Neodiprion lecontei: one gene and its partner. The protein of the gene in region 1 interacts with the protein of each later gene in a biochemical or structural test. Links are inferred from orthologs where the notes say so. Each region holds a gene or a part of one and is shown on either strand. Other genes may lie near its edges.

Region 1 (3,924 bases):
AGGGCTAGCTGCAGAAATCAGGTCATACCGAGTTATCTAGCATATCCGGTATTTCGATATACCGGTTTGAAATGTATGGCAGTAGCGTAACAGTCAGTTAATGGAAAAATACTGCGCATTTGTATACCCGCTCCATTTTTCTTTATTGCAACTACGTCGTCCCAGAAAACAATTTCGCTAACCTTCCCTTGATCAACGCTGACTTCAAGGTCATAAGACGGTTCAAATTCAAACTTAAATCGGACGCATAACATTTATTCGTGAACCATTTATCATACATATACAAAATGTAGAGTTTCTTGGCATACAAGCGTACGTTCCACATTTACACGAGTTTTCAACGATTTAAAGAATCCCTGATTAATCCACCGCAGTGTAATGATTTACTTCTTTCTTTAGCTTTAACAATAAGTAAAAGCCACCTGGCCGTAATTGAGTTGAGAATGTTGTGATTATCAAAATTTCTGGAAATTCGATGCAATACTTCCACCATCAATACATGCAGAAAATTTTCCTTATACACAAATCAGCTGCTCCGCGTAATGTCAAACTACGCAGAACCTCGACTTGCTGGATACCTTGGGCCGGTCCTAGTAGCTTCGCACGGTGTCATTACGTTCAAATTTTCATTAATTAGACATCCGTTACCGTGAATGTGTCCAGAAATTACAATTTCCCGACATTGTCACCCAGGTCGACGTTCCTCGGCACTGCTACCGGGTCGACATTCGTCTGCAAAAAGCAGGTCTAGCTCGTCGTAGACTTAGTCGCGACCTCCCGAATTTCAATCGCTTATATCACGGAGACAAGTGCAGATACGAGGTTCGGCTTTTGCATGGAACTAGAGCAAAGCTTCGAGCTCACACTGGTACATTGGAAAAGATTCGATCGCATCCCCCCAGGTCAGCACCAGGGCGACCGTTGCTCAGGGTGTGGTCGATGTCAAGACGCACGCTTCGCGGAGAGTGATTTTTACAAGGGATCCTTTACCGCGACGGTTCAAAAATCTTGCGTAGTCGATAGAGCATACTTCGTAGTACCTGGTAGCAACAGGAGGTCTTCAGGAGTTCGATGGCGACAGTAAAACACCCGAGGAAATACCGTTCGGTCAGTGTCGCACGCGCGAACGTCGCGAAGCGCACCGCCTAAAACGCGCTCACGGTCTCTCTCCATGGTCCGCGCTATCCTATACTAGCAAACTGTTGCTCAGATTTTTTACGAGTATTATCCATCTCAACTACCAGTGTGATCATACGCGCAAACGCATTAAACAGTATAAACTTTACTTGTGTCTCTGACGGTCTTTCAGCTGTAATTTTCCATTGTCAGTAGTGGTGTTTTGATCATTTCATCGCGACTACTAGATCGATCAGCTATGGGAGACAAATCAGCATCGTCGCCGGCAGTCGCAGCTAACCCTGCAGCTAACAGCCCAGCCGTTCAAGCCGTTCCTGCCAAAAGAGCAGCGGCTTCGCCCAAGTCAAAGAAGCCCCGTGCAAAACCGGCGCACCCACGTACTTCCGAGATGGTGAACGCGGCTATCGCTAGCTTGAAGGAGCGCGGCGGATCGTCTCTCCAGGCAATCAAGAAGTACGTTGCTGTCACGTACAAAATCGACGCGGAGAAACAGGCTCCTTTCATCAAGAAGTACTTGAAGACTGCTGTTACTACGGGAGTATTGTTGCAGACTAAGGGTAAGGGAGCCTCGGGCTCTTTCAAGATCGCGAACGCGAAGACCGACGCCCCGAAAGCAAAGCCGAAGGTACAGCGCGCCGCTGCAAAGCCAGCTGCACCAAAAAAGGCAGCTGTTGCCAAAAGCCCAAAGAAGTTGACCGCCGCCAAAAAATTGGTAGCCGCAAAGAAGCCTGCAGCCGCTACGGAGAAACGCAAGGTTGTCAAGAGCCCGGCCGCAAAACCACCGAAAGTAAAGACTCCGTCGAAAGCAAAGAAAGCAGTCAAGGCACCTACCCGCAAACCGAAGGCTCCGAAGCCGAAGAAGGCTGCTCCAGCTCCAAAGGCGGCCAAACCGGCAGCCAAGAAGGCGGCTGCAGCACCGAAGAAGAAGTGAACAGCTACATTTCGTCACCAACACCAGCAATCGTCAGAAAAATAATTTAAACGGCCCTTCTCAGGGCCATCAATTTATATCTATGCAAATGAATTGACATCGTCGATGCCCTGAACCATATTCCAATAATCCCATATAGGTATATCCCATGGAAAAAACGTCCATAAATTGTAATTTCCTTCGCAGCAGAGGTATTTGTACGACCATAGTGGACGCATAGAGCGTCGGCTTGAGTAAGAATTTGCATTAGGTTTTGCTGTTAGGTAATAGTATCTTGCACAGTTGCAGCTGATTTCCGGGATATTATAATTATTTATTGTTTAGGTCTGAACCATTGTTGGAATTGTAGCGGAATCGTGTTCCGTATATCTGCCGGCGAATGGGAGTCTTAAGTGAGGTGGGCTTCAGTTGCTTGGCAACATTTCAGTGTTCAGACCCTTGCTATTATTATACATGAGCCGAGTGCACAATGCACAATCCCGGAGTTCCTGAAAGACCCCGTAGGAAAAATATCAGCTGCTTGGTTATCGTTATTCAATTCTGACAGCTGCTGTAGCAAAGGTCAAAGGGGTATGTATGGTATGTATTTGTGTAAAATCCTGTTCAATGACGTCGAACATTGTTTTTCGGTATTTTGAAAAAATGAAGATCGATTTTCTCTCAACTGAACATTACTGGTATAACATTGTTTTTTTTTCATTCTCCCCTAAAAAACGAGAAATTGCGCGAATGTCACGGCTTTGTTAGAAGAGGTTAAAAGGCAGTATCGAAATTATCTTGACGAAATACAGTTTAATCTGACAATTATTTCGTTCATCTATAAGATGATGTTTAAGCCAGGGTATCCAGCGATATGAAAATTCAAAATTCCCGTATATTTGCTGTTATTTTTTTCAACCGTATAGCGTTTGTGCATTATGTTGCGATCAACATTGAACACCGTGATATTCAACGGTGTAGAACCGATGAATTCGGGTGGAGTCAAAAATGTAGAAAAATCAGAAAATAAAAAGGTCACACATCGAATTTACAAACACATGAAAGTGTATTTCGTAGGATTTCAAAATATATAAAGCTGAAGTACAAAAAAGTCAAAACGAAAGGTAAAGTATTCTATGTATATCTGGCTGTCTGATGATTGCTCCGATTTTCCGTGAGAAAAAAATGCAAGGTTTGGTATTTGGGGTTTTGCGTGTTGCAGCACGTTGACTCGATGATATAATATATTATAGGGGGTGCCCTGGTCGATTTCGACGTTGCCATATGTATCTCCATCTATCAAAGTCCATGTACCTTAAAAGGACTCAACAGCCACATTCCATATGTATTCACAATTCCGAATAAAACGTTGATTTGATGCAGAAATACAGAAGTGGCACAGATTCTACAATATTGCAATAGTAGATTCGTAGAATTCATGCTGCCTCTTAATTGCGGCATAAAGTGAAAATGTATCGAAGTGATTTTGATCAAAATACGTATAGAATGGAGCACATTGAGCTCTCTTTCACCGTCTACAAACAGGACTCTCATATTCGAAGATACGTGCACATGTCACGTTGAAATCGACCGGGGGCAAACCATGTGGTGAAGGTGGTTATGGGACGATATTGTGGTATCGATGTTACCTGTGATAGAAAATTGGGTTGATAGATGGGGAATGATAATGTGCAATAACTCGTGACAGTATGAAACGATATTTGGCGAAAACTATTTGTGGCCCTGAAAAGGGCCGGTTGTAATGATTTGTCAAATGAAGAAAATCAAGCGCGTTCACCGCGAATACGACGAGCGAGTTGAATATCTTTGGGCATAATGGTTACGCGCTTAGCATGAATAGCGCACAAGTTGGTGTC
Region 2 (3,924 bases), on another chromosome or scaffold:
ATATTTTGTTTCCTCTAACCTTTGGTGCCAAGTCGATGTTAAATTTTCGGTATTCCTTTTTAATCCGATCAATGCTCCATTGTTTGACAGTTTCTTTTTTCTCACTTTTATCTTCATCAGATTTCTCCGCTCCGTCGTTGGCTGCTGTATCTCCAGAGCCATCAGTTTGCGTGTCTTTCGTCGACAGTACTGGCAGGTCTGCATCACTGTCAAAATATTTCAAGAAAAATTAATTAATTGATTACTGTGATCCGATGAGATTTTGAAACTATCTGTTTCGATAAAAGTTGGCAACTCGACTTACTTGGAGATAAACCATTTTTCAATGATATTTTCAACAGTGGAATATTGGTTGCTGGCTTTTAAAAACTTCTCATCAGCTTGAAGCAATGAAGTGGTATCTGCTACGTTCTGTTTGGGAGATTTTAGATCTTCTATCCATTTTTGTAGACCATCGAAATTAAAGGTAGCCCAAAGACCACCGTAGTATTCATTGCTAAAAATTGAGGTTTCGTGTTAATGGATAAAATATTAAAAATACAAGTAAACAGATGGTGCTTTTGTTGAGAGAGTGCCTACAATCTACGTTTACATTAGTAAGTGCAGACTTTTTTACCGGCGGTTCGTTTCAGCGTTTTTTTACAATATGAATTTATATAGAAATTTATGAATAAAAAGTGATAACAGCTACCTATCAAGGTGTAGAACCCTTTTTCCGATCCTGCTAGCCGCCGCGGCGACGATGGATTCGGTCATTCCTGAGTAAAATAGTGATAAATAATTTAGTACGCTTGACAGAACACGAATGAATTGAAATATATTCTAATATATCGAGGTTTGTGATATAAAAAAATCAATACCTGTACCCACGACGACAACGTCGTATTCGGTCGGCAGGTCGTCCTCCATGGCTCGGAATAATAAAAATAACTATTCAACTCGTATAACTTGTCGCAGATTGTACCGTTTCAAGAAGCACTGACCGAAAACAGTCAATTCATTATTCGCTATTGCTCCCTTATGACAGATTTCGCAGCTAGCAACCCCATTCGCGACTCGCCCCTCCTCGCTCAGGCTTTCACCCTTTTTTGTTCAGAATTTGACAGTTCGGTCGCTCCGTCGGCGCTCCGCCAATCCCCGTTTAGAATTTTGCTGCATTTTGCTGCGCGTCCACTACGCGTCGCAATTTTGTGCCCGTCCACTTCGTTACTCGTTGCCAACTTCAAGGCTGCCAATACAACGACCGCGTTTAGGAATAAAAATCTTCGCGTATCAACACGTAATTTGACGCTTTGCGTTGTGCTTTTGATCCAAATAGGTTGATCATTTCATTCACATTTCTATCGCATTTTTTTCTACCTCGCTTTTCGACTTTCTTCGCCAAATCTATCTCTTCGACTTTTTCAGTTAAAAAACGAAACTTGAAATTGCCGCTGTTGGCGAATTCACAGTTTTCCAACCGCCGCCGGATCGTCCCGAACTTAGTCACTTGATATTTGGAACGATATTCGAAAAGATTCAAAATTCAACGCTGTGAGAGAGTTTAATAAGTTTCTGATAAATCAAACGATATGTCCAGTTTCGATGAACTTTACGAGACATATGTCAAGGACCCCCGAACCCCTTGCAACTATGGTGTCAAATGTTATCAGAAGAATCAAATTCATCGGGACAAATATAAACACCCACCTCCGGACGATCGAGTGAGTTAACCTCAATAACGTTTCGATTTCTACATTTTTCTCTGAACAATCAGTTGAATTTTATAATATTATACTACGTACGTAATACACTTCTGTTCGCAAGCTATAACCGATATTGGAAAACCTTCTTAGCAATTCCTGCAAGAGTTCTAGAAGTTGCTTCTACTCCTTGTTACGCTAACACAACAGCTAATGTGATTGTTCCAGAAGGGAAAAAACGGCACTAGATCGAAACCTAAAAAACGCACAAGGCTGGATCGGAGAAATGATGAAAAGGACGAGCCATCAATTACAGAATCCGACTCCGACTCAGAAGTTCCTGAGATAACTTCGAAGAAATGCTGTGTGTCGCTTGATTCATCTGATCAAACTGCAAGTGCTGGTCAAAGCAGTTCAAAACAAAGAGAATCTGACGTAGGAAGCGAAGATGAACAGAAATCTGATATTGTTAGCTATTCGAGGAATGAGACAGAAGATAATGAAACAGAATCGTCGACTCTTGTGGACGAAAAAGAATTTATAAAAGAAAAATTTTTGGTACATATGCCGTCAGACTTTTACAGCTTCTATGAACTTTGTAAAGAGATATCGCCTAATGACCCTTGCAGCGCATTCAAAGCTGCTGATCTTTTACTTGTTGGACCATATGATGTTTTGAATGGAAAATTATTGGATGCTAAAGTTGAGAATAACGACCTGTATCTCAGGCACTGGAGATACTTTTATGACCCTCCCGAATTCCAGGTTCGCTAAGTTATTTATAGCGTTGAGAACATTAGATGTAGGATATTTATCTGGTCATTTTAATTGCTTTTACTTTCTACAATTTCTTTTGCAGACTATTATTAAAGGCAATGACAAGGAAGGCTTGCATTTTGGTTATTGGAGAGACGAGCCAAAGAAGAATCCTGTTTTCGTTGCTAAAAACTCTATGAAAGTAGATTGCAAGATTAAACCTATGGCAGAAACTGTCTTTGGAGCTGTAGAGTAAGCTGATTTACTAAAATTAGGAAGGTATCTAATCCACATTGCGAGAATTATCTGATTTTTGGTGAATCCTGAGGGAGTGACTAAAAAAATTGAACGAATTTGCAAAGAATTAAAGTCATACATTTCACTGTGCCCAGGATTACAAATTCCTCTCAAAACTGGATTTATTCTCTATGGAGGATTAATTTAAAACTGCAATACTATTTTAAAATATCATGGTACAAATGCGTTCTTTGTTCAAAGTGATTATTTGGAGGAGAAACTTAAGACGACTAATCCATTCGCAAAGCCTAAAGTGGCCAGCTTGCGTCAGCGGCTAAAAAAATTCGCAAATGCTCGGTGCATCCGGTTGGAAAAGAGCACGGAAACCATGAGAGCCAGGGAAAGACTAGTCGTAGCCAGAACGTTTCATCGTGCAGGAATTGTGGTGCCATATAATAAGAAAACACAATTGGGATACAGAGAGCTGGCTGCAACTGATGGTCGAGTGTTTTTCATCATTGTAACTTGTTGTTCTGTTGTGATAGTTTTTCCCCCTAGAAATCAGAGAAAAGAAAAATTCATAAAAACCTGAAAATTCGTCACTAACCATTAATTTTTTACCTTTAGGAAATCTGAAGAAAATTTTAAAACAAATCGATGAATCAGAAAACGACGCTGAAAGATCTGATCACTTGATTAACCTCGAGGAAGTAGAACGACTGGCTACCATCGCCGCTGACGAGTGCGATTTCGGAACGTGCCTAGAATTGGGACACGACCTATTTTCAAGCGGTAGCGAGTATGTTCAGACCATCGCTGTTCGAATGCTTACAACCGCATACAGTCTGCTTAATCGTCCGGAATTTTTGAAAATCGTCAAGGCGCATTGCTGCGATAGAAAGACAGGCTGTGTTCTCGGAATCATTTAACGAGAAAACTGGATTGAAGCCGTAAGGTAATTTTTAAGATATGTTTTATTAAGATATGTCCACAAATACTTGTTTATGCTATTTCTTTTTTATAAATGCTAAATAAAAAGAAATACGAACGTGAATTTCGGTATCCGGCGCGGTGTATAAATTTAGATGTAACAATCCGCTCCACGCTCCACGCTCCAATTCCTCATCCGAGATCGAAATCTAATATCAATACTTACAATTCAAAAACCGTGGAAATATTCATGAATGCCTGTATAAACTGCGCCACGTTAGTTGCATCACTGCCGACGTTAACCTGTTACATTCTGCGT

The links.
Region 2: the proteins of late histone H1-like (region 1) and histone PARylation factor 1 form a complex in vitro, tested with the Homo sapiens proteins (2 studies listed by BioGRID). The link is inferred for Neodiprion lecontei from reciprocal best matches to the Homo sapiens genes H1-5 and HPF1.

What each region holds. Positions count from the first base shown.
Region 1 is NC_060262.1:40,413,100-40,417,023, reverse strand, and holds late histone H1-like, read left to right. Parts: upstream 1-1,233; 5' UTR 1,234-1,375; coding exon 1,376-2,068; 3' UTR 2,069-3,528; downstream 3,529-3,924. Other genes in the region: histone H3, read right to left, coding at 3,832-3,924. UniProt on the Homo sapiens protein: Histone H1 protein binds to linker DNA between nucleosomes forming the macromolecular structure known as the chromatin fiber. Histones H1 are necessary for the condensation of nucleosome chains into higher-order structured fibers.
Region 2 is NC_060265.1:5,898,957-5,902,880, forward strand, and holds histone PARylation factor 1, read left to right. Parts: upstream 1-1,211; 5' UTR 1,212-1,318; intron 1,319-1,407; 5' UTR 1,408-1,571; coding exon 1,572-1,703; intron 1,704-1,910; coding exon 1,911-2,447; intron 2,448-2,541; coding exon 2,542-2,690; intron 2,691-2,936; coding exon 2,937-3,175; intron 3,176-3,302; coding exon 3,303-3,604; 3' UTR 3,605-3,729; downstream 3,730-3,924. Other genes in the region: rab proteins geranylgeranyltransferase component A 1, read right to left, coding at 20-206, 305-496, 692-758, 861-909. UniProt on the Homo sapiens protein: Cofactor for serine ADP-ribosylation that confers serine specificity on PARP1 and PARP2 and plays a key role in DNA damage response.